Macaca fascicularis: one gene and its partners. The protein of the gene in region 2 interacts with the protein of the main gene of each other region in a pairwise test. Links are inferred from orthologs where the notes say so. Each region holds a gene or a part of one and is shown on either strand. Other genes may lie near its edges. The genes, in order: PDE4DIPP2, UTP14C, TEX11 and PRICKLE1.

Region 1 (8,006 bases), on a different chromosome or scaffold from region 2:
AAAGGAACAAAGAAAAAGAGGGAAAGAAGGAAAGAAAAAAAGAAAGATGAAAAGCAATCAGGAGGAATTCTGATGTCAATATTTAATAGTGCATACAGTATGGTAAGTGGAAGATTAAACAAAGGAATCCAAATGACCTTACAGAAAATCTTGCTGTTTAAGATAAAAGGTTTTCTCCATATTTGTGGCAGAACTGAACTAAAGGAAACATTTTTTTCTTTCATGGTTTCGTGTTTTCACAAGCTAAAAGGAGAACTACCAAAAAAAAAAATTACATTGTTTCTATTCTTTCCACATTTGTTCAGAGAAATAGACAAAAACCAGTCTGCCATTGTCCTATCTAGCACTGGTTTTGTCATAAGGCTCTTAAGGAGCTTAAAAGTAACCGGATTTAAACAATAGATATGCTGCCCATTTTATTTACAAACAGGTTGGGCCCAATTCATCTATTTTCCCTGACATCTCAAATTATTAGAGAAAATGGTATAATAATTAAATGCCACATTTCTTGAAACTGAATGACATTTTCTCCCTCCCAATTTTTGTTTTTCTAGAAACAGTAAACAATGTAAGAATGTAAGTTAGGTCACAGCAGAAAGGTCATATGCTACTATTTTAAAGCTCTAATGTCCAAATTTAGTGAAGTAAAGGGACTTGACCTAAAGATACAGTTACCATAGTTTATATATGTTCATTCAGATGACAATTTTTTTCACGTAATCTCTAAAAAATCCCCCAAGCATCCTTAGGTTAGAGAAAGAGGGCTCCTGGTTTTAAAAAAGTACTTACTTAAATTTATATACTTCAGACAATGGGGTTTAATGTATAGAATTAGTGTCTTGCCTGAGAATGGTCAGAAACCTTTGTCTCTGCATGGGCTAAGTTAGTTAAAGAATGAACTTTCTTTCCATATCTCCAAATTGAGGGACTGCCTGAAGATGATCTTTAAAATTCTTCTCAACTCCAAAATCCGGTCACCAAAATAGAGTATTTTATTTAAATATGGAGAAAAAAGACCTTGTTTTGGCTGTTATTTTCTCAGTCTTTATGTAATGTTCTACAATATTGGCCATACTTGGTGGCGGGTTGGGGAGACGAGTTTATTTCCCATTCATCCTGGCCCAACTAATTTTAGACCCTAATAAGAAAACACCATGTTTAATTTGTAACACCTATGTCTGGTCCAGAAATACTGTAAAGCCCAAATTCAGCTGAGGCTCCACTGAAAGGAAAAGCAAAAGAAAAGAAGTACATACATTTTATACAAATGAAAACGCACTGACTTTTTACCTTTCATGACACTTTCATCTCTGCTGTTTCTCATCTATGCTGCTACTCATAATTTTGTGTAAATTTAAAAACTTTTCTCCTGTTTTCTGCTTAGGTTCTTATGGTGAAAGAAAGTATACATACCACAGAACTACTTTCCAAAAGTTTCATGTGACCATCAACAATGTTACTTATCAAGCTCTAAATTTCTGGAATGATGTTGACCAGTAGCAGGCTTTCTAAAAATGCCTTCTAGATCACATCTACCTTTGTGACAGTATCGCTAAATAAGTTGTATCAAGTGGAACATGCCAGTATGTTTCACAAAGTTAACTGAACCTAGCATTTACTGTTGCTATAGAAACAAACTACCATAGCTGAATTTAAAAGGTTGGTATAGAATCAATTGGGCAGACATGAATGGTTCAAATTAAGCAACTGCCATCCTCTAGTCATTAAGAATTCAAGACTATAATGAATGAAACTCTCCTCTGATCCAATAATGGGTTAATCCTTTCTTAATATCAAATATCTTCCAGTAGAACTCAGCAGAGTTCTGGCTGTGAACAGTTTATGCCTTAACGTTTTGAGTGACAATACTGTACTTGAATACTTGAATTCCTGTCTCTTTTATGAATGAGTCATCACTAATCCTCAAATGAACTATTCATTATAATAAATATTGTCCAGATGTTATAATACTTTACTGGTGGATTAATAGGTTTCCCCCAAACCTTTTACCTTATGCTCTAATCATTTACAGGCATTTTGCGGATGAAAGCTTCAATGCTCTGGGAAGAACTAACTAGAGAACTAACTGCCTTACAGAAAGCCATTGGGAGGAAACGTCTATAAATCTGAAAACAAGAACAAATTTTAAAAGTTGTTAAAAAAAAAAAAAAAAAAAAAAGAAAGAAAAGGAGATAAGAGGAAAAGTTCTAGTGCCAGAAATGAGATTAAATGTCTTCTTTTTACAGGATAAAAGTGAAGTGGGAATCTTTACCTTTTTGTTTTAAAAGGTATACAATTTTGATAATGGGAAGGCCAACAGATTTTACAAAGACTGTGAAAAGCAAATTATCTGAGTACGAATCACGTTTACTAAATGAGACACAGAAAAGGTGCAGCAAAAATGGGCTCATGACTAATTTTCTCAAGTCTAGAATATTACTAACCTCCACCTAGACCGAAATCATGTGAAGCCAGAGGCCAGCTAGCTATAATCAGAAAGGCACTGTGTAGCCGTTTTGTATACCTGGACCCGGAGCGGCAAATAATCTTCACAGAGATCATCCCACAGCTCCTGCAGGTCTGAAAGCTCCAAGGGGTAACTCACAGGTGTCTTGTAAAGGGGTTTCAAAGACCTGTTAAGGAACCCGGAACTAACTCCATCTGTCATGCTATGGCCAGGCTTGGCTCCAGGTGGGCTGGATTTCACTGGAATCGGAAGCCTGCTCCCTCGGGGGCTCTGGATGGGCTTATAATCAAGACCTTTAATCATGCTAAGAGCTAACTCCAGCTTGTGATTACACCCATGCGGCGGAGCCTGATCATCTGAACAACAGTCACACTTTCCAAGTTCCTTTGCACTTCTCTCAGTCTCCTCATCTTTCTGTTGTGGAGGGCTAGCGTGGACGCTTGCATCCAAAGATTCCACAGAGGAACCCGGCGTCTCTTCCTCCATGCTTTCTCCATCTGGGGGTACCTTTGTGCTTGCTAAGTCGGGTGGCCCAACCTCAGACAACGCTGGTTCTTCAGTGCAAATGCTGGTCGACCACCTGCTAGAAGGGCCACAGGAGATACTTCTGGCCACCTTTCGAGGTACCTTACAAATGGCTTCATAGTCAGAATCAGCAACCCGCAAAGCTGCACAACCACGGCATCTCCTGGGTCGGTTTCCAGGGCCTTCCGAACCATGGCAACTGTGTGGCTCCTGGATCTGATCCTCATTCTCCACCCAGCACTCAAACCCTGAATAGGCGAAGTCCTCCTGGAGCAGTGCAGAGTATCTCGCATCAGGTAAGACAGACATGTCAACCGTCCCATTCCCCGCCTTGACCTCCGGGCCAGAGTCATCGTTATTCTTCCGATACATACTGGCAATGCAGAACTTGAGGCGATCTTTCTCCAGTAGCAGCTTTTGCAAGCGCTCAATAGAAAGAGCTTCGATCCGGGCAATAACCGTGTCGAATCGATAGATTCGATCAAGCATGAAAGCACACTTGCTGCAAGCGAACTCGGCTTTGCCATCGCGGGGGACATCCTTGCCCAGGACGTGCGAAAGCAGAACCTGGAGGTTCAGCTTGGACGCTGTGTGGAAGATCCAGCGCCGCTGGTTTCCACACAGCTCTCGGGCACAGATCCTGCAAATCTCCTTCATCTTCCCTCCTAGCGGGTGCCAAGCTTCCTGAGGCGGCGGCGGCGGCGGCTACTGGATGACCACTCAATGGCTCTTCGCCGCGCTCTGTCTCCCGCCTCAGTGGTCTCCAGTCAGCATGGCACAGCCCAGTGGGGTCCTCACTCTGCAGGGGTGCACCCCTACCCCGTGCGCCGGCTCCGGGTACCACAGCCGTCAGCCCCGCCCCTTGGGCAGGGGGCGGGCGTGGAAACGTCTAAGAGGATGCTGAGTGACAGAGGCGCAGGCCGCGCTCCGACCCTGCCATGTCTCTCCCCAGCTGTCTCTCCCGCCAGCCGCCGCGTCCTCAACGTCCTACCCTTTTAACAGACTGGGCTCCCGGAGCAGCAGCGGCCCGCCGCGCAGACTCAAAGGCTCGGGGATTGAGGATCAGATTTCAAGATGGCGCCAGCGGCTCCACGTCTGCGGCTTCCACAAGGCTCCTCTGGGAGCTGTAGTCCGGTCAGCGGGCTCCCGGCTCTGCGCATGCGGGGTGGCCAGCACGCCCCTCGCCCCCACTCCGGTTGCGCACCTGGCTCACTGGGAGTGCAGAGCAGAAAGCACTACTGGCGCGGACCACAGCCAGCCGCTTTTATCTGCTAAGAGCTCACCTGAAAGGCGCACCAGTGCCCTCAAGGATCCTCCCGCCTCTGCAGGATGTCCCGAGGCTCCTCCTCGCGGGGAGGAGAAGGCCGAATCCCCTCCCCCTGGATCCTCGGACAGTGCCACGTCCTCCGGCTGCCAGCCGGGCAGCGCCGCTAGGTACCGCTGCGCGCCGCCGCCGCCTCCAGCCAGCAGCCCCACCTCTCCCGGCCTCGCCCCGCCTGGGTTCTAAGGCCCTGAGACTGCGAGGCGGGCGGGGGAAGGCTTGGTAACGGAGGGGCGGGTGGGGCGGGGCCATGCAACCCTTACCTCGACTCTGAACCGGAATGTCCAGAAAAGAGTAGAGGACTGTTTCTTCCTTGATGTGGGTGGGGGAGGGTTAGCACCCTTGGGGGACTTTGCCCTACTTTCGGTAAAAAAGAGCACTGAGCAGTCACCTGAGAAAGCGTCCTGCAAATACAATGTGAATCTGGTTAACCAAGATCTTGAAGATAGTAGAAGGGAAATGTGCTTTTTCAAGGATGCAGCCAGCCGCGAGTAGATTACCGCCACTGAAGTCTCTCCCTCAGGTAGAGGGCATTCATTATTTTAGGGCAGGGGAGGGTAGACAAACACTAGCGCAAAAGACGGAGCTCCTTTCGGCAAGAGCTGGAGTGTCTGGGAATGCAGCTCGCGCCAGAAAGGACTGGGAACTTCGCTGACTTCGGTGAGAACCCTGTCTTACTCAGCACTGTACAGTGGTAGGTCCTCCACCCTTGGGTCTAAAACTTGGATTGCACACAAAGAGGAGGGAAGCTAGAGCCCTGACTAGGTGGGATGCAGGTACCTCCGGCCATTTTTTTTTTTGAGTGCAGTGGCGCGATCTCGGCTCACTGCAACCTTCGCCTCCCGGGCTCACGCCATTCTCCTGCCTCAGCCTCCCGAGCAGCTGGGACTACAGGCGCCCGCCACCACGCCCGGCTAATTTTTCATATTTTTTTAGTAGAGACGGGGTTTCACCGTGTTAGCTAGGATGGTCTTGATCTTCTGAGCTCCTGATCCGCCCGCCTGGGCCTCCCAAAGTGCTGGGATTACAGGCTTAAGCCACCGCGCCCTCCGGCCATTTTTAATAAAGAATTCTCTTCCTGACTTGAGAGGCATTCAGACACGGAACAAGAGGAACAACCGCAGCAATCACTTGCAGTCCCCTAGAGCAGGCCATTTCTCAGTTCTAATCATGTTAAATTTTTTTTTTTTTTTTTTTTTTTTTTTACTAACTTGACCTTGTAAGCTAAGGCCAGCAACGTCTAAGTTTTTCTGAACCTCGTCCCCAGGACAGAGCCCATCCTCCTAAACCTGAAGACATCCAAATGCCATCTATGAGAGTTCATAATAAGCCCCCCAAACTTCATATTGAAGACCAAATGAGATAATTTTGAGGAAATGCTTTAACCATGTTTAGCTCATTAAATAATGGCTATTATTATTTTAATATGAATTGGAATATTTTAAGTCACTTTAAAACATTATGGGGCTCTGCCTACATAAGATTGTATTGTTCTCTTAATCACCAAAGCAAAATCTTGTAGCTCTATTGTAAGAGAGAAAGACAGTACTTAGAGCTTTGGGCTTAGTAGGCGATATGATTTGAATATATGGCCCCACCAAATCTCATGTTGAATTGTAATCCCCAGTGTTGGAGGTGGGGCCTGGTGGGAGGTGTTTGGGTCAGGGGGGCAGATCCCTTATGGGTTTGTGCTACCCTTGCAATAGTGAGTGAGTTTTTCTGAGATCTGGTCATTTAAAAGTGTGTGGTGCCTCCACCACCCCATCTTGCTCCTGCTCTGGCCACGTGACTTGTTTGCTGCAGGTTCACCTTCCACCATGATTGTAACCTTCCTCAAGCCTCCCCAGAAGCCAAGCAGATACCAGCACCATGCTTCCTATAAAGCCGGCAGAACTGTGAGCCAATTAAACCTCTTTTCTTGATACATTACCTGGTCTCAAGTATTTATAGCAATGCAAGAATGGCCTAATATCATAGGCTGTAGAATTTTGCATATGTAATTTCATCTACTGAGTGTATTCTGACTCAAAAACCAAGAATATAAAAGGGTTTCCAGTAAAACTACAGCTGCATTTTGCCTGCCTCTAGGTATGTGAGCTTCAAAGTTGGAAGAAATTAAGCAACGTGCTTTGGAATCTATGGTGATCTATAGAAAGGCAAAGAGTTTCTGGACTTACCCTGACTGATGGAAAGACAGACTGCCTGCCAGGACACTACCTTGCCGTACCCAGTCTTAAGTGTAATCCAGATCTTGTTTTTTACTGTCAATGCAAGCCACATTTTCCTATTAGGAAAATGTGAATGAAACAAAGTGCTCTTCAAGAGCAAACCCTGAATTATACTTTGGGTTATTCTCTGTTCTTCAAAAGGATTTTGCATCTAACTGATAGTCTCCAAATTTTAATGACAGTATATAGATAGCTTGGTGTAGTCATACAGGTCAATACAAATGGTGAAAAGGCAAATTGCCATTGAAGAATATGTTTGCTATAAGTAAAGATCAATATACTGAGAAAACTATACATATCTAGACTTCCAAAAACAGATGGGAATAAACCACTCAGCAATCAGAAAATGTGAAGATGGCAGTCTGTTCACTTGCAGAGAAAATAGTTCAAAAATGTATCTCAAAGTCGATATAAGCTGTTGTACTAGAATTAGTCCCTATATGAGCATTTGGTATTATGAAATAAGGTGTTCCCAACGAAAAGATCACTGGTATATAGAAAATAAAAATTTAAAAATAAAACTTAGGAAAATTATGTGATAATAAATTTTGCACTTCTTGGTCCTTATCATTATTATCTTGTGGTCAAGAGTTTGCAGTTGAACTGGTTACCTGTGGTGGGGCTATGCAAGGACATTTACTTTTTATTCTATATACTGTGTATCATTTGAATTTTGGACAATGAATGTTTATTCAGGTATTTTAGATTTTATTTAATTTAGAAAATATTTTATAGTTAAAATAAGGGCTGCCAATTTAACACACTAATATAGGGTCTAAGTGGTAAAACTTGAACCTAAAATAAGAATTTTTATACTAAATATGATGATATATAATGTAAGAAGATAACTTATATAATAACAAAAGTTCAAAGGGGATCCACAAGTTATTAGTAATGGTTATGTCTAGAGAGTGGAATTATGGATATTTATTTTCTTTCTTCCTTATTTTCTATAATTTTTTACATTACATATTTTACATAACTTACAGTAAGTACTTAACTGCTTTTGTGACAAGAAAAAAATATAATTGTTACTAAGAAAAAAGGTAGATGAAACACATTTTAGTGTATTCATACAATACAATACAGTACTAGCCAGCAATGAAAAAGAATGAACTCAGATACATGCAACATGGATACACCTCAAAAACATCTTAAGTGAAACAAGCCATATGCAAATGAGTACATCCTGTGTGATTCCATTTATTTGAAGTCTGACAACAGGTCTACGGCCGTACTACCCTGAATGTATCTGATCTCATCTGAAGTCTAAGCAACAGACTATAGAAAAAACAGATCTATAGTGATATAAGTCAGGAAGTGGTTGAACGGTGAGAGACAGGGTGAGAAGTGATTGAAAAGGGGCACAAAGAAATCTTCTGAGGTGATGAAGCTGTTCTGTATCTAGTTTTGGATGAAGGTAACATAGGTGTGTAGAGTTGTTGAAGCTCATTGAATGGGGCAC
Region 2 (7,909 bases):
ACAAAGTTACAATGGTGTGTCAGAACATCCTGTGACTGGTCCTCTGTTTGCTTTTTGATCTGATGACAGATGGCCTGGAGACGTATGAATAACATAACTGGGAGTAGATAAGCTGGCCACATTGATAAGTGACTGAGAGAAGAGTGCAAAGGAATAATGTACCCTTTCATTTGCCCCTTAACACAAAGATGAATCAGGCTATGGATGGGGTCAATTCACTGAACTAGAAAGGATTATATAAGCAGAAAATGCAAAAGCTATAGGTTTTTACAGCCGTATCTGCTCACACATATATTCAATTTTCCATGCTAGTTATTCAGGATAGAAGGTGCATTAAATTTATACCAATTCCTAGCTACTGGCCGAGTAACTAAGAATCTACATAGAGTTGTAATGCATTAATAAAGATTGGATTATAGAAGACATTTAGTATGTAATGCTCCCTTTAAGTAACTGTCATAATTTTTTTTTTTTTTTTTTTTTTGAGACAGAGTTTTGCTTATTGCCCAGGCTAGAGTGCAGTGGCACAATCTTGGCTTACTGCAACCTCTGCCTCCTGGTTTCAAGTGATTCTCTTGCCTCAGCCTCTCAAGTAGCTGGGATTACAGGCACCCGCCACCAGATCCAGCTATTTTTTTTGTATTTTTAGTACATACAGGGTTTCACCATGTTGTTCAGGCTGGTCTCTAACTGCTGACCTCATGATCTACCTGCCTTGGCCTCCCAAGGTGTTGGGATTACAGGCGTGAGCCACTGCTCCCGGCCCTTAACTGTCATAATTTTCAAAGTACTTTCATCCACTTTCCATCTCATTATTCCAACTCCAAAAGGTAGTAAGGACTGGAATTAACAACTCCAGATTACAGATGAAGAATCTGAGACTCAGAAAGATAAAGGAGCAGTTTTAGTGTCAAAAGGTCAGAAGTTTGTAAATGATGAAGCTGAAGGTAGGCCCAGATATGCTAACTGCTTGCCCAGTGCTCTTTTCAAAATGCCACCTTGCCATCTGACAATGCATTATGCTGGTAATAGATAATAAATACCCTGTGGATGTATCTGTATACCACATCATCACTGTCAGAAAAACAACTTGAGGTTCTCTTGAATGACTTAAACCTGACTTCCAGGCTGAGATGCGGTACTGTCAAGCGATAATGAGACCCACACAAATGTGCTGATAGCACTAAACAAAAACAATTTTCACCAGTACCTAGTATGGAAAGGACTGTTGGCAGCACCTTGGCCTCTACTGCCCTACACACACCTATAAAGCATCAGTCAGTCCCACCTCTTGACTGTATGCTTTGAGAACATGATTACACAAGTCTGTTTAAAATTTCTTTTTAAAGGAAATCATTAGGTATATTCAAAAGGGTCATCCACTGTATTGTTTAGAATGTAAATGTACCAGCATTTTTCTGTGTTCTAATGTCTGATCAATTCTAAAATGCTAGTCAATTAATGGTCATCCATTTTCTTTTTTTAAAAATGTGGCTCAACTACATGCAATGTGCTGAGCCAGTTCTGGAATCCACCCTGTAGCAGAGTAAAACTGGACCAAAGGAAGTGGAATCAGAACTCCTAGCTGTCACTTTTCCAGCTACTCAACCTACAGAGTTTTTCTTCAACTCTTTACTGTGACGTGTGGTGATTTGTTTTGGATTCCACTGTATGACAGACAGGTCTGACCTTGAGGAAGACCGGTAGCCCACATCCTCTGCTTTTATGGGCTTAATGATATGACCTGGCTTGGTGATGACCTTGGGAGTAGTCAGCTTTTGGAAAGCCCTCTGGGTGTTCCATGTGGATCCTACAGGGGTCTGGATGGTCCTTTCAAATTGCCGATGGTGGGTAAATGGATATGGAAGCACTTGTACCTGATGAGCTGCTGCGTGGATGTTGCGCTTCTCACTGATAATCACATTTGGCAAATTCTTATCTTTTCTTGGAGGACCCTCAGGGGCTTTGAGAAACTGGCGTCTTTTCTTGGTACTAGGCTTTAGGCCCACACCACCCCACTCGCCCCAGCCAGGTAGTGTCAGGTCCACGTCCTTTGGCGTACTCGCCTCCACAGCTTCTCTCTTCTCTTTCAAGAAATTTCTGATGACATCATCCCCAGCAAAAGCTTCCTTTATCATCTGCCTTTGGTCTCTCTCCTCTTCATCTTCCAGCTCCTCTATTGTTGTGGGAACTGCCAAAGACCTCACGGAAGGAGACTGTGTAGTTAGGAGGTTCTGTACGTCGATCAGTTGCTCCTTCTCTTTCTTCTCCTTAGGGGCATCAGGCCGATTATTTGGGGTCCTCTCTGACTGCTGCCCTTCTAACACAGGTCTGGGAAGCTCCTTATTTTGAAAACAATCTTCTTTTCCCAGCTCTTCTAGCTCTTCCACAGTTTGTACTCTCTCTGGCCTCTGTAGCAACAGGGGCGCCTCTTCTTCTGGGGCAGGTTCCTCTCTCTGGACCTGGGGAACAGTCCCCTCTGAACTTGCTTTTTGCTTCCTGGACTGATGGTTTTCCTTCAATTTCTGAGATAGTGCCCTCAATTCAGACAGCACCTCCTGGCTGCTAGAATCTTTTGTTTCTTGAATGCCTGCTGGCTCAGCATCCTGGTTGAGCTCAGATCTTTTTCTAAGGGATCGCCTCTCCTCAAAGTCTCTCAACAAAATTTCTTCCTCTGCCACTGGTCTTTCTCCCTCACTTTCAGAAACCTCATGGGTGGCAGGCTCTGGCAGTTGCTCAGGGTCCTCCTGGGTTGCAGCCTCTCTGGTGTCACTGGTGCAGCTTCTGAGCATCCAGGGATTTGGTCCGTCCACATTCATCTGGACTTCATTCACTACATGGGGGACAAGGAGTTCTTCCACTTCTTCTGTGCCTCCCTCCTCTTCCTCAATCTCAGAGGCTACCTGGAGTTTCTGTGTCAGTTCTTTGTTCTTGGCCAACTGTTCCTGCATAGCTTGGCGAGCCTCCAGGTCATATTTTGCCATAATTGCCTTTGACTTGGCCCATTTCCCACTGTTTTGGTGCTTAAGGCTCATTCTTTCCATCATTCTGGCATTTTCAAATTTTTCCAGTTCTTCCAATGCCACAGTTGGATTAACCTTCTGCAGCTGCTCCAACTCTTTTGAGGCTTTCCTGGCCTTTCCTTTCTTCACGACTTTGTGATACTTTTTACTTTTGATTTTCTTCTCTCTTCGAGCCTTGGCCTCATAGTAGGACTGCAGAGCCCGAGCCCTTTGAAGCTCTGCTCGGTGCATCTTTGCCTCTTCCAGACTCATGGCTTGGAGAGAGGCCTTTTCCATGGGAGTCAGTAAAGGGTCTGTTACTGGCTGCTTGTTCTTATGGAGGAGGTTAAAAATTTCCTGCTCCAGGGGAGTTCCTGCCTTCCAGCCACTGAGTGCATGTTCAATGGGAGCAATGGCTGGCTGCTCCTTCCCCAGGGGAAAAGCCAGCTGCTCTGCCTGCTGGTTCTTCAGGACGATAGGGTCCCATTTAGAGAGGACTTGTGAGGTTTTACCGAATGCTGCTTCTCTGTGGATCTGTTCAATCTTTTCTTTGTTAAGAGGTAACTCCACCACCTTCTTTGATTTGACTCTATTCAGTTGCTTTTTCACAGTGGCCAAAGAAGAAGTAGTTTTAACAGGCTCAAGGAGATCTGCAAGGACCAGCTTTTCTCCTGATCCTTCAGAACTGACATTGAACTCTGACACTTTCAGACTAGCCTCAGACCTCTCAGCCAATTTCCGCCTATTCTTTCCATCAAGGGAACTGATTGCTTCCAGAAGCTTTTGATGCTTTCTCTCTCCATCACTGTCCCCCTCATCTTCATTCTCACTCAAGGGGCAGTTTTTTGGCAAATCCATTAATTCTTCCTGTTGGCTCAAAGCCAGAAGGCTCTCCACAACCCGGTTCACATTCATCTCAGCAGCCAGCTTCTCTCATGTGTACCAAGAATGGAAGCTGAAGGCTAGTCATCCATTTTCTTTTCAACACTTCCTTTTATTCTAAAAGGAAATTTTCTTGTCTGTTTTCTAAAGTAAAATGATTTGACAAATGAGATTGAATTTAGAAAAATATTTACATATGAAGGTGTTTAACCAGTTTATATAAAATATCTTTAATTTTCCAGATATGGCATTACTTAAATAACTTTTCCACAGATGATAGGAATGTCACTTCAAATTCCTGATCAGAGAATCTGCTTACAGATGCACGAGCACTTTTTCTGATTTGGAGTCTCTTTTCTGCAGACATGGAAAGAATGTGAGCGATAGTTTCAGCATAGTCTTCTTCACTCTCAGCCAGAAAGCCAGTTATATCTCCTTCGTGAGGAACGACAATGTCAAGCTTTGGGCCCCCTGAATTGTGTGCAAGGATAATTGTGCCAGCTGCCATACACTCCACAACTCCTGAGAAAAAAACAAAAATCATGTAGTATTTTAAGTTTTTGAGTGTGTTCATAAGAATGAGGATGAACAGAAATCTTCAAAAATTTTAAGGGACTTATGAGAAACTTAATTAAATGTCTATATGTCTAGACATTTGCTTATTTAACTTCTATAGTACAAAATAAAATAATTTTAAGTTTTTTAGTTTTCATAGCTTCATAATAATACAATTTTTTTTTTTTTTGGAGAGAGAGGGTCTCACTATGTTGCCCAGGCTGGCCTCTAACTCCTAGCCTCAAGTGGTCCTCCCATCTTGGCCTCCCAAAGTGCTGGGATTTACCAGCGTGAGCTACCACACCCAGCCTGCTGCTTTATTCTTAGTTAAAATAGACAAGTAGATGGAAGACTAACCTATTAAAAAAGATATATTGCAGATAATTAAAAAAGACTAGAGAATGTTAGCAAGATGGTAGAATATTAACAGGTATTAGAAAAACAAAAGGAGTAAAAAGATATCAAAAACAATTTTAATAGTTCAAATTACATTAGCAGAAAAAATAAAAAATGCGAATCACCTAAGTGAAGCATACTATTGCAGTGCTTATGTTACTGCCTGGATTTCTGGCATATTTGAGACTACTGCGTGCCCAACAACAGTGCTGAACTAAATGAAAGTTGTGGTTAGTTTCTGCCAAATGATACACATGAAATATAAATTAATGTAGCCAGCCTTTCTTAGCTGTATTCCTAGGAGAATTAAGCCCTTCAGAGAATGATTTAAGTGACTGCTTTCCCAATTATCTGAAGGATGGTACAGAGCTGGTATCATCCTGGATGTATAGGAGAGAAATTAAATAATTCCAAATGTTTCTAAACCAGTGGTGAAATCCCTGCAGAATAGAATTCAGTAGCTCATATCGTATTCTGCTTGAGGTTGGAGAGCATCCTGTACTTTCTCAGAGACCTTCATCTAATCAGTTTTACCCTTTCCCTCTCTACTGGCTCCTTCCTATCAGCATTGAAGCTAGGGTGCCACATGCCTCTCCTCAGGTCCTGCAATACCCACCCCTAGCCATTGTCTCTTCTTCCCGCTCCGTACTTCACAAACTTACTGAAAGTGTGGTTTGCACTTACCAACTCTACTTGTTCACTTCTGAGTGCTCAACTTTTGATTTTTGCTCATAGTCTGACTTTTGCTTCTACTTCTCCCTTAAGATTGCTCTTGCCCAGGTCACCAGTGACTGCCTTACCTTCCCCAGCATCAGGGCAGCATCGGAATCTGTGCCCTCTTCATTCTTCTCCAAACACTCTCTTCCTTGGTTTCTAAGACACTGCACTTGGCTGGCTCTCCCCCTTCTTCTCCCCATTTCTCAGCTGTTTCTGTTCTCTGCATTTTGTACTGAGAGCCTCTTCTCACTCTGTACATATTCCCCAGGCGATCTTATCCACATCCATGGGAGCTTTGATAACTACCTGCACAAGGACAATCCGCATTTTGTATTTCCAGACCAGATTCCTCTCCTCAACTTCAGACTCCTATATACAAAACTACCTCCTGGACGCATGCCCTCACATGTCCCACAGATTAACTCAGACTCTGCAGGTTCAAAACTTGGCTCATCAATGGTATCTGCTCTTGGATTTCCCCTCTGGGAGAAAGCCAACACCATTCTCAGAGTTGCCCAGCTCCCAAAACCCTAGGTGGTCTTCTCTTCCTCCCTCATTTAACACATCCAGTTAATCACCAAGTCCTGGTCAATACACTGCAGAATGTCTCTCAAGCATGTTCACCTACCAAGTTCAGCTCACTAGTACCTCCACCTGGGCTGCTACAGTAGGCCGGCTCGCATCTTACTGCCTTTCCAATCTTGCTCTCCCGGCTCTTCACTGATCCACTCCCCATGTGGCCAGAATGGACTGCAGAAATCAGAAAGCTTTTGCATACAATACTTAAAATCCTGCTGTTCTTTTCCACTGGCTTAACCTGGCCCATATCACCTCTCTGTTGTCTTCCTGCTTAATGTTCCTATTGATGCATCTGTTGTCACTCCTGTCATAGTGCTGTTCCCTCTGCTGGAGACTCTCCCGTCTCTCCTGGCTAACCTCTAATTATTGTTCGGGTTCTGCTCAAGTGTCACATCACTTCCTTGGGCAACCGTTCTCTGCCCGCACAAGTCTGTGTTAGGTTTCTCTTTGGCACTTTCACATCACCCTGCACTTCCTTAGCATAGCACCTGGCACACAGCACTTGCCTGTGTAGCCTGTTGGTTCCACCAGAGGGCAGGAAGCCTCTGACAGGCCAAGCAGCTCCCGTCTCCACCACATCTCTAGCATCCACCCAAGTGCTCAGCAGACTGAATGTTTAGTAAGTTTCTATGCAAGGAAGCAGAGTAGGTCAGATCCCAGGCAAAAGGTTGGGTCAACCTGGGTCTAGTACTATACTACTAACTAGGAGTGAAAAAAGTATAAGAGAAATTGTAGTCTTAGTTTAGAAAGTGTCACTTTTATGTTATCCTCATTTCCTCTAACAACTAACAGTGTGAGGCACAAAGCGCTTGAGAAATATACGTGGACCCAAATTAAACACAAAGTAGTACTTGGTTTTACAGCAAAATGTATGCTTAACAGGTCAGAATGGAGATAGTAGTTTGTGCCAGAATAAACAAGAGAGGCTAAAAGGCAAGGAGATTTAAGTTGAAGACTTATGATGCGATCTGGCACAAAGAGGAGGGCCAGTCCATGGTGAGGGTAGAATCAATAAAAGACTAAAAGAGTTACTGTGAGAAGTCCCTATGCAAACAGCGGTTCTCAACTTTTGATGCATAACAGAATCACTTAAGCAGCATTATCAAAATACATCTACCTGGGCTTTGTCCAGAGATTCTCATTTGGCCATTCTGTAGGACTAGGGTAGGCCCAGGAATCTATACCAGTAAGTACGTAGTGGGGTTAGATGGGGAGAGAAAATGTTGCTGTTAAGAGCAGGGACTATCTGGGTTAGAATCCGGGCTCTACCATTTACTTACTGTGTAACTGAACTTGAGCAATTTCTAAACCTTCCTGTGCCTGAGTTTCCTTATTTATAAAATAGGAATAACAATAACACCTATCAAATAGGGGTTTAGAGGGGCTTAAATTAGATAATACACGTAAAAATCTCAACACAGTGGCCTGCACACAGGAATTGGTCAATAAATACTAGCTGCTATTGTTAACTACTTAGTCTCAAATGAGGAAAGTGTATTTGGTGGACGAGGGGAAGAGAATTAGGGCATGATGCAGACTTCCAGAATTTCATCATTTTATCAAAAGAACCTAAAATGTGTATCTCATGGCACCAAACAAGTTGTTTAAAGGCCAAACTCACCAATCCCAAAATGCTCGTTCCACATGGTATGCAGACCAATTGTTGCTTCAGACAAATAATTCTTTAATTCATCAAATGGAATGTTTATTTTAAATTCCACATATTCTTGAACTCCTAAATCCTCAGAGAGCCTTCTCAGTTGGTTTACCCTAAGTTC
Region 3 (7,882 bases), on a different chromosome or scaffold from region 2:
AAACTATTATTGGTATTCTACAATAATATCTTAGGATTTTTTTTTCTTTTTTTTTGAGAGACAAGGTCTTGCTCTGTCACCCAGTTGGAGTGCCGTGGCTTGATCATAGCTTAACTGCAGCTTCCACCTCCTGGGCTGGAGTGATCCTCTCACCTCAGCCATCGAGTAACTGGAACTACAGGTGTGAGCCACCATACCCAGCTAATTTTTAAGTTTTTTGTGGAGATGAAGTCTCACTATGTTCCCCAGGCTGGTCTCAAACTCCTGAGCTCAAGCAATCTACCTGCCTCAGCCTCCCAAACTGTTAGGATTACAGGCATGAGCCACCACGGCTGGCCAGGCTGTTTTTTTTTTAAAAAGGAACTCAAATTAAAAACGTATATTGGTGGCATGTGCTTGTAATCCCAGCTACTCAGGAGGCTGAGGCAGGAGAATTGCTTGAACCTGGGAGGCGGAGATTGCAGTGAGCCAAGATCGGCCACTGCACTCCAGCCTAGGTGACAGAGTGAGACTCTGACTTCAAAACAAAACAAACAAATGAAAGTTTATATTGGGGTTTTGTTTTCTTCTCAAAAATATTTTTTAAAATCTGTTTTTAAACAATATTTGTATTTTTAAAAACATCAATTTTAAAATCTCCCTGATTCTGCTATCAATATTTTGAGCAAGGTCTACATAAATATATGTCCCTCAGCCCAATACTTACCTAATCTTAGAGGAGTCAAGATATTAATAGCAGTCTTTCCATTAAACAACTTATGGGAGAAAGAAAGATAGAGGATTTTTTTCTTTTTTCTTTTCTTTTTTTGTTTTTTGTTTTTTTGTTTTTTTAGTTGGAGTCTTGTTCCGTTGCCCAGGCTGGAGTGCAGTGGTCAATCTCAGCTCACTGCAACCTCTGCCTCCTGGGTTCAAGCGATTCTCCTGTCTCACCTTCTAGAGTAGCTGGGACTGCAGGCACGCGCCACCATGCCTGGCTAATTTTTGTATTTTTTCTTTTCATATATATTTTTTCACCTAAAGTATTTAAAATATGTGGTATTTTAACATAATTGAACATAATTTGCTTTGTGAAGTCTTTATTTGAATCTATAGTCTTATGTTTAGCTAGAATTTTGATTTTTAATTTTTATTTTTATGAGTACATAGTAGGTGTATATATTTATGGGATACATGAGATATTTTGATACAGACATACAATGTGTAATAATCACATCAGGGTAAATAGGATATCCATCACCTCAAGCATTTGTTTAATTGAAATTTTTGTAGCTGATTTATTTTTTATTGTAGCAAGGTAAAAGTTCTGTTTATTTTAGCAGCTTAAAATCTTTTAGAAGGTGCTTTTATGGTACTGTTATGAATATTAATAACATTTTTGCTAATCTGAGGCTCAGGAATGTTGCAATAAATTAGAACTATGTAGCTTATGGACACTTATGTCACATGAGTTTGAAAAAATTTTTTTGATAATATGAAAGGCATCAATTGAGATTCTACATCATGCTTATTGTTTAGTTTTAGGGTTTTTTTTTTTTTTTTTTTTTTTTTTTTTGAGACACAGTCTTGCTCTGTTGTCCAGGCTGGAATTCAGTGGCACGATCTGAGCTAACTACAACCTCAACCTCCAGGCTCAAACAATTCTTATGCCTCAGCCACCCCAGTAGCTGGGATTACAGGCGAGCACATCACACCCAGCTAATTTTTGTATTTTTAATAGAGATGGGGTTTTGCCATGTTGACTAGGCTGGTCTCGAATTCCTGGTCTGAAGTGATCCGCCTGCCTCAGCCTCCCAACGTGCTGGGATTACAAGCATGAGCCACTGCGCCTGACCTAGTTTTAGTGTTTTTTTTTGTTTGTTTTTGTTTTTTGTTTTTTTTAAATGGTGTCTTGCTATGTTGCCCAGCCTGTTTCAAACTCCTGGGCTCAAGGGATCCTCCTGCCACAGCCACCTGAGTAGTTGGTACTACAGGCGTGGAACATTGTGCACAGCTAATGCTTGGGTTTTAAGGAATTCCATGGCCTAGTAAGATTCAGCTATGTGGAGTCTGGAGCTGAGACCATTTAGAAAATGGTGACATCATTTGTGCAGATTCAATAGCTGGTTAATGTTGTTGCTAATTGAGCATGTCATTTTTTTTTTTTCTCACAAAGTAAGGTCAAGACTTCAGAGCCAGCAGTTTGCTATGTCTGTCTAATGCTTGAAAATATTAATAAGTTTTTCAGTTTTACAGGGCACATATCCAGATCTTTCAGATTTTCTACATTTTCTAGTTTTGAAGACACTGTTAAGTTCAGTTTTGTAGGGTTTTTTTTGTTTGTTTTAGAGAAAGGGTCTCACTCTGTAGCCCTTGCTGGATGGAGTACAGTGGCAGGATCATAGCTCACCGTATTCTTGAACTCCTGGACTCAAGTGATCCTCCCAACTCAGCCTTTGGACTAGCTAGGACTAAAGATGTGTGCCACCATGCTTGGCCTGTTTTGTACTTTTAATATTACCTAATAACTTTACTATTAGTGAAGTCAATGCATTTTCCTTTCTGAGAATGAATAATGATTAAGTTATAAACAAGTGACTCCCAAAGAATGCAAATTTTATTTGAAAATTATACTCTTGCTTAAATAAACTTTAAATCTCCAGTTTGGTTTTACTCTAAGGATCAAGTTCCTTCATGCTATATTCATTTGGCCAATGATTTAGGAATAGGTTTAAAAATGATTTGCTACTTTTAGCCAATGGTAATAGTTCACAGCACATTTATCATCCATTGTTATTTCAGAAGTTGTTGAAAACCTGGTTGCAAGTGATAATTCACCTAACATACCAGAGGCAATTGATAGACTCTTCAGAGACATAGCAAATATCAACAGGGAGTCTATGGCTGAAATAACAGACGCTCAGGTTAGTATAAAAATAATTCTGTTTATGACAAGTTTTGATAATTCTTCATTTTAACCAATGTATTATATAGATAAAAAAGTAGTCTTAACCCTTGCTAAACATATAAAAATCTATTTTTGGATGTTCACACCTAATTTAGGGGAAAAAAATTTTAGAAACCAATGGAAAAATATGTGCTCAAGTTTAAACATTTATTATTTATTAGTAATGTTATATATTATTAATATTTATTAACCTCTCCAGGCTTCAGTTTTCTCATCTGTTAAATGATAATAGTAATACCCACCTCTAAGTGTTGTTGTGAATAGTAAACAAAATAACATACATAAGGTCCTGGGCACACACGAGTTCTCTTTTCCTTCCCTTTGCAGCAAAGTAGTGGAGCCACCCAGTAGTGGAGAACTCAGTTGACTATAAGCCTTCAGAAGTGCTTTTTTGGGGGGTAATTTTCTAATGTTTAAATGAAGGTCTGTTACTTACTTAATATGGAAATTGTCTTGAGGCTTGAAACACTTTTGAGAACATTTACCTTGGGCAAATACTTGCATTTTGGTGATTACTTATATGGAAAGGTGAGAAGAAAGTTTATTGTAAATCTCTCTTCCTCTTTATATATATATGTATCTATATATGTATGTATGTGTTTATGTATATATAAATACCTTTATTTAGATATAATTTACATACCATGCAATTCACCCATTTCAAGTATGCAATTCAATAGTTTTTAGTATTTCCCAGAGTTGTTGTGCACCTATCACCACGGTTAGTTAATTTTAGAATATTTTCACCACCTCAAAAAGAAACCACGCCCATTCACAAACACTCTCCATTTCCTCCCATCCCCTTCCCTCCCTCACCCTCAGCCCTAGGTAACCGCTAATCTACTTTTGGTCTCTATGGTTTTGCCTAATGAGGACATTTTATGTAAATAAAATCATACAATGTGTGGTTTACTGACTGCTTTCACTTAGCCCCATGTTTTCAAAGTTCATCCATGTTGTTGCATGTATTTGTACTTCATACATTTTTATGACTGAATAATATCCCATTGTATGGCTATACCATATTTTGTTTGTGCATTCATCTATTGATGAACGTTTTCATTGCTTCCACCTTTTGGCTATTATGAATAATCCTGCTATAAATACTCATGTACAGATTTTTATGTTTTTATTTTTCTTAGGTTTGTACCTAAGAATGAAATTGCTGGGCCATGTGATAACTCTAAACTTTTGATGAACTACCAGATTGTTTTCCAAAATGGCTGTACCATTTTACATTCCCACTAGCAGTATAAGAGGGATCCAGTTGGTGGTGACTCATGCCTGTAATCCCAGCACTTTGGGAGGCCAAGGCAGGCGGATCACGAGGCCAGGAGATCAAGACCATCCTGGCTAACACCGTGAAACCCCGTCTCTACTAAAAATACAAAAATTAGCTGGGTGTGGTGGCGGGTGCCTGTAGTTCCAGCTACTCGGGAGGTTGAGGCAGGAGAATGGTGTGAACCCGGGAGGTGGAGCTTGCAGTGAGCCGAGATCACACCACAGAACTCCAGCCTGGGCGAGAGAGCGAGACTCCGTCTCAAAAAAAAAAAAAAAAAAAAAGAGGGATAGAGGGATCCAGTTTTTCCACCTCCTTGCTGACATTTTTCATTATTTGTCTTTTTGGTTATAGTCATTTTAGTGGGTTTGAAGTGTTATCTTATCTCGTTGTGTTTTTTATTGTGGTAAAACACACATAACATACAATTTACTGTCTTAATCATTTTTAGGTGTATAGTTCCCTTGTGTTAAGTATGTTCACATTGTGCAGCCATTCTCCAGAACCCTTTTCATCTTGCAAAACTGAAACTCTGTACTCATTAAGCAACTCCCCCTTGCCCTCTAAAATTCTTTTTTTTTTTTTTTTTTTTTGAGACGGAGTCTTGCTCTGTCACCCAGGCTGGAGTGCAGTGGCCGGATCTCAGCTCACTGCAAGCTCCTCCTCTCGGGTTCACGCCATTCTCCTGCCTCAGCCTCCCAAGTAGCTGGGACTACAGGCACCCGCCACTTCGCCCGGCTAGTTTTTTGTATTTTTTAGTAGAGACGGGGTTTCACCGTGTTAGCCAGGATGGTCTCGATCTCCTGACCTCATGATCCGCCCGTCTCGGCCTCCCAAAGTGCTGGGATTACAGGCTTGAGCCACCGTGCCCGGCCTAAAATTCTTATGAATTTTGAGATCAGCTTGTCAACCACCATTCTACTTTCTGTCTCTATAAATTTGACTACTCTCAGTACCTCATGTAAGTGGAATCATATAATAATTGTCTTTTTGTGACTGGTTTATTTCTCTTAGTATAATGTCTTCCAGGTTCATCCGTGTTGCAGCATGTGTCAGAATTTTCTTCCTTTTTAAGACTGAATAATCCATTGTATGTGTATACCACATTTTGTTTATCCATTCATTTGTTGATGGACACTTGGGTTGCATCTACCTTTTGCCTATTGTGAATAATGTTGCTATGAGCATTGGTATGGAAATTTCTGATCAAGTCCCTGCATTCAATTCTTTTGGATATACACCCAGAATTGGAATTGCTGTATCATACGACAATTCTGTTTTTAATTTTTCGAGCAACCGCCATACTGTTTTCCATAGCAACTATAGCATTTTACATTTCTATTAATAGTGAACAAGGGTACCAGTTTCTTCACATTATCACCAATACTTCTTGTTCTGTTTTTTTATTGATAGTAGTCATCCTAGTACTGTGAGGTGGTATCTCAGTTTTTTATTTTATTTATTTATTTATTTTTTAGACTATCACATTCTGTTGCCCAGGCTGGAGTGCAGTGTCAGGGTTTCAGCTCACTGCAACCTCTGCCTCCTGGTTTGAAGCAGTACTTGTGCCTCAGCCGCCCAAGTAGCTGGGATTACAGGCAGGCGCCACCACACCTGGCTAATTTTTGTGTTTTTAGAAGAGATGTGGTTTTGCCATGTTGGCCAGGCTAGTCTCGAACTCCTGGCCTCAAGAGATCCACCCACCTCGGCCTCCCAAATTGCTGGGATTACAGGTGTGAGCCACTGTGCCCGGCTGTAAATCTCTTTTTAGATCATAACCTCTTACGGTACTTAGCTGTTAGTGAAAACAAATTATAAGATTCCAAGAGTTTGGGTTTGTTTGTTTGTTTGTATTTTGAAACAGTGTCTTGGTCTGGAGTGCAGTTGCATGATCTCGGCTCACTGCAGCCTCGACCTCCTGGGCTCAAGTGATCCCCCTCAGCCTTCCAAGTAGCTGGGACTGCAGGCGTGTGCCACCATGCCTAGCTAATTTTTTGTATTTTTCATAGAGATAGGGTTTCTCCATGTTGCACAGGCTAGTCTCGAACTCCTGAGCTCAAGCAGTCTGCCCTCTTCGGCCTCCCACTGTTAGAATTATAGGCATGAGCCATAAGAGTTTGGTCTTATTTTTCAAGAAGATCTGCTTGGTTTTGGAAATGCCTTGAATTTATTTTCTTTCTGGAAAGTCTAATCTTCATATTATTTACTTCTGTCTGCAGCATGTATTTACCATGCTTATCATTATACATTTATGTAAACCTACGACAAAACCTGCCACATCTTAGGTGCTTAATACACATGTGTTGAATAAATATGTTTTGTGATTATGAAGTATTTACAATCATAGTTTATCTTATCCTTTCTAACACAATATGAGAAAATACAAAAAATTGTTTAAAATCATAAAGTAACATAACTTTACAGAAAGTTTTAAAAAATGGATACAAAATCACATGCAAACACACACTTGAATATAACAACTATTATTTTAATGTATTTTCTTTAATAGTTTTACTGTTTAAATGTTACTTAGCTATAATTATACGGTACATGTAATATTTCTGACATCATAAAAGGCAATTTGCTCTGTGTTCCCAACATTTTATTTTATTTTATTTTATTTATTTAGTATTTTTTAAAACCAGAACATTTATTGCATAACTAATCGTTGACATTCTTAAGATGAACTAGATGCTGCAACAGCTGCCCTCTTGTGTTTAGGTGTTGTTCCTTCACAGAATCCATGCCTGAATCTGCGGTATACAATTTTTAGGTGCCTCATTCGACCAGTTCTGGTGGTATTTCGTCTTTTAGCCTTGGCACTCCAGTTATACTTTCTCTTGCACTTGGCAGGGTAGCCACATTTGCCACAAGTCGACTTCTGAAGGTGGTAGGCCTTAGAGCCACAGCGGCGGCACAATGTGTGCATCTTATTGCGACGCTTTCCAAACGATGACGTTCCCTTCGTCATCTCGCTTCTGCAGCCGAGACCAGAGAGCTCAACATTTTAAAATAAACATTTTCAAACAGAAAAGTTGAAAGAATATTACACTGGACACCTGCGTAACAGCCACTTACTTTTTACAGTTGTAAACATTTTACCATATTTGCTTTATCACATATACATTTGTCCATCAACCCATCTTATTTTTTGGGTGTATTTTAAAGTGAGTTGCTGACAACAGTACATTCCCCCCCCCCAAATGTTTTAGTGTGCATATCATTGACCAGAATACAATATTTTATTGAAGTTCTTCTTTTTTTTTTGAGACGGAGTCTCGCTCTGTTGCTCAGGCTGGAGTGCAAGTGGCATGATCTCAACTCACTGCAACCTCTGCCTCTCAGGTTTAAGAGATTCTCCTGCCTCAGCCTCCCGAGTAGCTGAGACTACAGGTGCACACCACCACGCCCGGCTATTTCTTTTGTATTTTTAGTAAAGACAGGGTTTTACCACGTGGGCCAGGCTGGTGTCAAACTCTTGACCTCAAGTGATCCACCTGCCTTGGCCTCCCAAAGTGCTGGGATTACAGGCGTGAGCCACCATGTCCAGGCATGACCACTATTTTAAGTGGATGAATACTATTCCATCAAGAAAGTTTATCATAATTCACCTATTTATTTCTTTGTTATTGGATATTTATATTGTTTCTCTTATTTAT
Region 4 (7,414 bases), on a different chromosome or scaffold from region 2:
ACGTATTACATAAGCTCCTAATCTTGAGTATGGTACTACTGGCTGTGAATTCAATATTAATGCATCAACAATGTACATTCAATAAAGCAGTGGCTTTAAGCAAAAACACACATGAAACAAGATTATGCATTGATGGGTTGATGAAACGGCAGTGCCCAGAGGCTCATAGGAACCTAACCCTGTATTCCCCCACGAGCAACGGTTCAGTGTTCACTAATCCAGCGTTCGCAGTAACTTCACAGAACACGACTACTATGAAAAACAAGAATCGACTCTCTGTTCATTTGTCAAATTTCATCAGCTGGAACATTTAAGATCTGTACATTTCACTGTATGTAAATTATATCTCAACTTTAAAAAACAGAAAAGAAAAAATAAGACTGTGGATAATTCTAGACAGACTAATGGCTAGGTGACAGGGCAGACGGGCTGGCTGTGGACTTACCAATATGTTCCCCACAGGTTTCACAGTACTCCGCATAGAGAGACTCAAAACAGCCACAGCAGAAGGGGCGGCCATCCTTCATGATATACCTCTGTCCTCCCAGGACCGTTTCACACTCAAGGCAGCAGAAGTGCTTCATGTGCCAATGGCGACCCTCAGCTTCTGTGCACTCATCAGCAAAAATTATCTTCAAAAAGAAACGTGAAACCAGAGAATGAAAGAAAATCATTAGGAACTATTTTAAAGGCCAAGTAACTGCATGTTTTTTGGGCAATGGACAGACACTGGCTCTTAAAAAAATCAAATAGCTAACCTTGTTTCTTAGAGTCACAAGCTTAAATCTAACTTGATTTAGCTACAAACTAGAGCATAAATTGACAGTACTGAAAAAAGAAACTAAATAATAAATACTTGCTTCAACCTGACAAAACAGATTCTACATTAGAAGTAATTCACTGGGTCTTATTTTTGTTCCCCAATAACATTTCCTTGGCATAATCTGGCAAAGAACACATTAACACGGAAATACTTTAGTGAAATAATTTGGTGTTTCAGTAGAAAGAAAAGTCATAAAAATGTCTGTGGACTCAACACAGTTATAGCTACACAGATGCTGGAATTGAGTGAACAGCATTTGTGTTGATAATGCTTTATTTGACCTGGTGGCCATCTCCAGATTAAGGACTCTTTATTTTTTTGAGACAGGGTCTCACTTGTAGCCCAGGCTGGAGCACAGTGGCACAATCATAGCTCACTGCAGCCTCAGACTCCTGGGCTTGAGTGATTCTCCCACCTCCGCCTCCTGAGTAGCTGGGACCACGAGGGCACAACCACCATGCCCAGCTAATTTGAAAAACATTTTGGGACAGAAATGGGGTCTCACCATGGGGTCCAGGCTGATTCTTTTATTTTTACTTATTTATTTTTATTTTTTTGAGATGGAGTCTCGCTCTGTCACCACACTGGAGTGCAGTGGCATGACCTCAGCTCACTGCAACCTCCGCCTCCTGGGTTCAAGCAATTCTCCTGCCTCAGCTTCCTGAGTAGCTGGGACTACAGGCACCCGCCACCATGCCCAGCTAATTTTTGCGTTTTTAGTAGAGATGGGTTTCACCATGTTGGCCAGGATGGTCTCTATCTCTTGATCTCATGATCCGCCCGCCTTGGCCTCCCAAAGTGCTGGGATTACAGGCATGAGCCACCGAGCCCGGCAGGTTCTTCTATTTTTGGTGTCCAAAATATGTTCAGTGGAGCACGGTGGCTCACCCCGGTATTCCCAGCATTTTGGGAGGCCGAGGCAGTCGAATCTCTTCGGGTCAGGAATTCGAGACCAGCCTGGCCAACATGGTGAAGACCGCCTCTGCTAAAAATACAAAAAAAATTAGCTGGCCGTGGTAGCAGGCACCTGTAATCCCAGCTACTCGGGAGGCTGAGGTGCAAGAATCACTTGAACACGGGAAGTGGAGGTTGCCATGAGCCGAGACTGCACCACGGCACTCCAGCCTGGGCAACAGAGAGCAACTCCATCTCAAAAAAATTTAAAAAACAAAACAAAACCAAGACCAAAACCAAAATATGTTCAAATAGAACACTGTTGAAAAAAAGGATCAAATAAATGAATGTATACAAATAAAAACAAAGTTTATTGTCACACATGGAAGGAGACTAAGATACAACGAGTAAATGCAATGAGGCACCCTGGATTGATCTTGGATAAGAAAAGGAACATTTGTTACAAAACTAGGAAAATCTAAACAAAGACTATGGTTTAGTTAATGGTATTATACTGATGATAATTTCCTAGTTTTGATACATATATTATGGTTATGTAAGATGTTAGCATCAGGGGAAGCTGGGAGAAGGGCATGCAGGACCTCTCTGTAATAGCTTTGCAATTCTTCTGTAAATCTAAAATTATTTTAAAAAGCTAAAGGGAAAAAATTTTTCCTTTCAAGCCATCATCCATTCCCACCTTCCCCCAAGGTAACTACTACTAATTTGGTATTTGTCTTTCCATACCTTTTCTGAGTATAAACAAATACATGTATCATACTGTTTTTTAAATCCTTAACAAAAAAAGACCATCTACTACATGTTCTTCTGCAACTTGTATTTTCTCACAACGCACTGAAGATATAATGCTTATCAAAGTACAAAGACATCTGCTTCCCTTTCTATTAGGTAGGTGCAAAAGTAATTGCGGTTTTGACCATTATGGCAAAAAACCGCAATTACTTTTGCACCAACCAAATATAGATTACTTCATTGTATGAATGTACAGGATTATCTTTAAAACATGCACACAGAACAAAATCCAGGAAATTTTAATATTTTGCTTAGATGTAAACAGTGGAATATTGGCTTAATCTAAGCTTATTTTTCCCAGTGTGAAAGGATGAACTTTTTTTACCTCGTCACATGCCGAGCACCGTGGTTTGAGCAGTTCTGCATGGTGCCTGCCACAGTGAATTTTTCCATCCTGATAAAAATAGATGAGGTCGACCAGCAGCTCATTGCACGTGAAGCAGACAAAACAGGATGGGTGCCAGCACACGCCAGGGCCCGCGCGGGAGGCGAACACTGCAACTTCACCTCCGTTTATCTTCAACCCACACTACAAACAAATGGGTTTGAATGTAAAAGGATCATTTTTTAAAGACGGGATTCTCAGGCTTTCCTACTTTAGGATAAATCTCGAATTTGTCAGGAATGTGTTCATTTTTGCCACCTCTGTTAATGATTAAATAGCTCTTTAATGCTGGATTACTGGTGATTCTCCACTGTAAGGCATGTGTCTCAGACATACTACGACTGTTTCTAAGGACGGTGTAATGTGATTCACACAAATAGTGGTTTTCCTGTGCCAGTCTCCTGCTGGATACATTTCCTACTCTGAGAACTGCCAGCAAAGATCTGAATGTCTTCATTATGTTTCTGCCTCTTTTGAATACGAGATGTATCCTAGCACCTACCTCCATGCCAGGATCCTACCAAAGGCAGGATTTCACCCAATGTTTGCACAAGGGTGACTGACTCCTGCTGTCATACACAGCAGTGTAGCTAGTTACAAATATGAAACATGAATTGCTATTTAATAAAAAGCCAGGCTGTCTTCCTCTCACTTTTTGGAGGCTTTCAGGGCCCACACCTCTGCTAGATAGTTAGTGGATAACCCCTAACTATCCACCCCATCCGCATCACTGCCACAAGCTACACATCGGAGAAGGGGCTGCCCACCTGCTCACACACAGCATGCATGACTGCTCTGGACAGAAGCTTAATTGTTCCTCTTCCCAGTGCTTCTTTCTTCCGCTGAGCACTGAACACCTGCAATTCTTTTTTCTCCTCTTCACTCAAAGACTGGCAATACCGCACCTTCACAGAAAGCAAAACAGAAACACCACACTGAGTGCACAGTCTTTCTCACCAGTTCTCTACTTCCAGAGTTAGGGTTTCAGGAAATAAAATAGTAAGTTTAGCTCGCCTGTGTCACACCTCCACGATTTTAAAATGACACCATATCCAAATTTTACAGCCTCTCTAGAAAAAGGGAAATGCAGCGTGAAGGAATAGTCTTTTTTTTTTTTTTTTAAATAAGAAATGTTTAATTGAAAACCCTTATCAGCACAGACATTAAAAAAAAAAAATAGGACATTAACCTTTCCACAAAAGGTTTAAACTTGTTAACTGCCACTTTTACTCTCCATTCTACATGCACTCAACTCAACTGCAGGCCTGAATGACCATAAAGCATTCACTCTGGATGCAGGGGCAGGGAAATCTCCGGCATTTGTAGGTTCCTGATCATTGGTGGGTGGCTGCAAACACTATAAAAACCAACTTGTGTTAAGTTGATTACACTGATACTCTTTTCTCTCTTCTCTCAAAGAATGGAAAGCTGTATTCTCTGGCCAAATTTTAACTAAAGAAAGGCAAAAGAGAGCCTGACTCACCAGTGAGGATATGGGGTTTATGAGCAGCATCTCAATGCTTCTCATGCATTTTTTTCTTTTTTCTAATTAGCCTTCTTCCGGCTATTTTACCTCATTATCATGTGGTGGTAACTGGTACAAAAGCTGTTTAATCCGATGCTTCTCTCCAGGGCTGTTAACGTAAGGAACCTTTTCCTCTGGTAAGCAAGCAAAATAGAGCTGGATCTGCATAAGAGACAGTGAGAATGGCATCAGTATACAGAACTGAGCATTTCAGCTCACTTAATCTTTAAAAGTTACCTTTCCCTAGGTACAGGGTTTGGCCTCTTGTAGCTAATGAGAAGACCAGCTGAGCCAACTCAGCAGAACTGCAAACCTTCAGATAACTAGCACCCAGCTGCTAAATTGCTCTTCAGGAATGTAATTTGTAGTGAAAATTAGGGACATCATAAATTATGCACCATAAAATATGCACATTTAAGACTACTTTTCCTGGTGCTGTGGCTCACGCCTGTCATCCCAGCACTCCGGGAGGCCGAGGCAGGTGGATCACCTGAGGTCAGGAGTTTGAGACCAGCCTGGCCAACGTGGTGAAACCCTGTCTCTAACTAAAACTACAAAAATTAGCTGGGTGTGGTGGTGCACACCTGTAATCCTAGCTACTCGGGAGGCTGAGGCGGGAGAATCGCTTGAACCCAGGAGGCGGAGGTGGCAGTGAGCCGAGATCGCGCCACTGCACTCCAGCCTGGGGGACAGAGGAAGACTCCATCTCAAAAAAAAAAAAAAAAAAAAAAAGACTACTCTTCCTCAGCCAATCTTCCAACGGGTCAACTAAGAGATCAGCAAGAGAGAGAGTTCTGGGTGAATTGTGCAAATTACCACACAGACTATGTGACATGGCCCCAAATCCACCCAGTACACAAACACACTGAATTTGCTCTCTGAAGTTTACACATCACAAAGACAAAAGCTGTTTAGCTAAATGTTGTAAACTCTTCTTTATCAGGTGCTCTCAAACATCAGCTTTCTTTGCTTCCATGTATGCTATTTTCTGAATACCTGAAGTCAGTCTCCCTAGGGAAATTGGAGAGAAGCCATATTGAGCTGTACTTTGCTCATTCTGAAAGGAAAACTTAATTTCTGCCTGTTTGTGTTCTGATATCTTTAAAGGAACATCCCTTAATGAGTACTGCAAAGGATACTGCAGAGCTGAGAAGGAATAAATGAAAAAAAAAAAAGACATGAGACAGGAATTTAGGGCCTGTCTACTTCAATACCTTAGTACCACACAAAACCTACCCACCCTAGATGTAAGAAGGGATTCTCTCTAAGTAGTTTGTCCAAATACTGCTTTTCTAACTGCTTCACCAGTACTCCACCCTCTCCCCATTCTATCAGCTCTAGAAGCTTTTTACAGTTATAAACACTTACTGAATATCAGCTACATGCGTGCCAGGTACTGTGCTATGCCATGGATAAATAAGGATACCCTATTCTCAAAAAATGTCCCCCCCTACAGGAAACAGAACCCTAACTCAGAGCAAAGCAACCACACACCCCACTGTCAACTTTATTTTCAAATGATGCCTTTGCTCTTTTAATAATATCACGTGATTTTCAACAAGTTAATCATTGTAAAGATATTGGGAAAATTAAATAGGCATATAGAATGTTCTCATCTTCCTTAAAATAACAACACAAACAAAGCATAAAATTAACTCTCTAATTTTTTTTTCCCAATCTCTGGTGTAAGTGACAGGCTCTTTTATATGCAAAGTTATCAAAGGTCAAATGTCTAAGCAGTAACACTTCAGAGGGTTTCTGATAGCTTGCCATCTCGCTTCCAAAGCAAAAGCATTGCTGAGAACTGGCATGGAAACTTTTCTCTTTTATTGCCTTTTTGTTGTCACAGAAGTTTTTCAAAAGGTAAATTCCTCTCACTCTCAAGAGGGATTCATCCGAAATACATATAACCAATGCATATGTAGTACTCCGGATTTCATTCATTAGAGCAAAAATGGGATCCTTATGAGGCTTCTGGAACCATGAGGTACGACGAGACTGGAAACTTCCATTGAGAAACTAAATATGACCTTCAAAAGTAAAACTTCAAAGCCATACAAAGAAGAATAAGGACTGAGGAGGGTGGTATTCCAGCATCTCAGTGATGTTCTATCCATTTGCAAAATAATGTTCTGAAGTCTGAACTCACACTGAAAAACAAAGAGTAAATATAGGATGATGAAGTTCCTACCTGCTCTGGTCTCAGGCCCGGGGGAACCCAGGCATACTCCTCCAACGCACAGCCAGAGTCATCATCTGATGTGGAACTTCTCTGACAGCCAAAGGCCAGCTTGCTCATTTTGGGCTCCATCTCCAAAGGCATAGAGTTTAAAGCCTGGTTTCTCAGGCACAGGACATCAAACAATGGCTGCTGTGGACAATATAAGAAAAAACAAAGACATCTAAAACCTGAATGCATGTCTCTTACTCTGACCCAGAGCTTTTACTGAATGCTGTTAACACACAGCTGGGCCCAGAGAAAGTAACCAAATTACTACTGTCACCACCCCCCAGCCCCCAGGCCCCCTGAAATTCAAAATTTAGAGCTATATAATTTGGTAGTAGTCCCTTTGCCAGCTCAGAATTTCAGAACATGCCACCAAAGCTAGTTTATTTCCAGGAGCCTTTAAAAGGTGCCTCTCTATAGCCAATTCCTTAGAAAAGTTCTCAAGAAAGTTGATGTGTTGACTTTCCAACTTGCCCGCAAATCCTTGTGACATCCTATAAGTTGTAGAAGGAAGTGTCAGGGATCAGGCCATCTGCCTTGCCCACTACTATGCCCCATGAAAAATGGCTCAAGACCCCCACTCGGTCCCCCGTATTTCCTAAGCAATTTTTCCAACTGAGGCAGTGCTGCCTTCTGAGAGTGGGTCCTCTCAGCCAAACTGCTTAGGTTTCAGGTTTCTAATTATGTTTTGTAAGACGCTAAACTGAGTTTACACACAAAATAGAAATAGCACAATTAAATCCTTAT

Evidence for each region.
Region 1: the proteins of UTP14C (region 2) and PDE4DIPP2 interact in a two-hybrid assay, tested with the Homo sapiens proteins (2 studies listed by BioGRID and IntAct). The two-hybrid records come from large-scale screens. The link is inferred for Macaca fascicularis from reciprocal best matches to the Homo sapiens genes UTP14C and PDE4DIP.
Region 3: the proteins of UTP14C (region 2) and TEX11 interact in binary tests that used the Homo sapiens proteins (3 or more experiments, as listed by UniProt). The two-hybrid records come from large-scale screens. The link is inferred for Macaca fascicularis from reciprocal best matches to the Homo sapiens genes UTP14C and TEX11.
Region 4: the proteins of UTP14C (region 2) and PRICKLE1 interact in a two-hybrid assay, tested with the Homo sapiens proteins (2 studies listed by BioGRID and IntAct). The two-hybrid records come from large-scale screens. The link is inferred for Macaca fascicularis from reciprocal best matches to the Homo sapiens genes UTP14C and PRICKLE1.

The regions. Positions count from the first base shown.
Region 1 is NC_088375.1:114,057,524-114,065,529, forward strand, and holds the start of PDE4DIPP2 (myomegalin), read right to left. Parts: upstream 4,035-8,006; 5' UTR 3,650-4,034; coding exon 2,525-3,649; intron 1-2,524. UniProt on the Homo sapiens protein: Functions as an anchor sequestering components of the cAMP-dependent pathway to Golgi and/or centrosomes.
Region 2 is NC_088391.1:31,196,218-31,204,126, reverse strand, and holds the start of UTP14C (U3 small nucleolar RNA-associated protein 14 homolog C), read right to left. Parts: upstream 4,135-7,909; 5' UTR 3,918-4,134; coding exon 1,605-3,917; 3' UTR 1-1,604. Other genes in the region: ALG11 (GDP-Man:Man(3)GlcNAc(2)-PP-Dol alpha-1,2-mannosyltransferase), read right to left, coding at 4,135-4,406, 7,753-7,909. UniProt on the Homo sapiens protein: Essential for spermatogenesis. May be required specifically for ribosome biogenesis and hence protein synthesis during male meiosis.
Region 3 is NC_088395.1:77,570,063-77,577,944, reverse strand, and holds the start of TEX11 (testis-expressed protein 11), read left to right. Parts: upstream 1-2,771; 5' UTR 2,772-2,876; coding exon 2,877-2,900; intron 2,901-6,852; exon of another isoform or gene 6,853-7,222; intron 7,223-7,882. UniProt on the Homo sapiens protein: Regulator of crossing-over during meiosis. Involved in initiation and/or maintenance of chromosome synapsis and formation of crossovers.
Region 4 is NC_088385.1:49,046,390-49,053,803, forward strand, and holds part of PRICKLE1 (prickle-like protein 1), read right to left. Parts: intron 6,812-7,414; coding exon 6,632-6,811; intron 4,603-6,631; coding exon 4,489-4,602; intron 3,986-4,488; exon of another isoform or gene 3,930-3,985; intron 3,821-3,929; coding exon 3,683-3,820; intron 3,060-3,682; coding exon 2,856-3,059; intron 633-2,855; coding exon 446-632; intron 1-445. UniProt on the Homo sapiens protein: Involved in the planar cell polarity pathway that controls convergent extension during gastrulation and neural tube closure.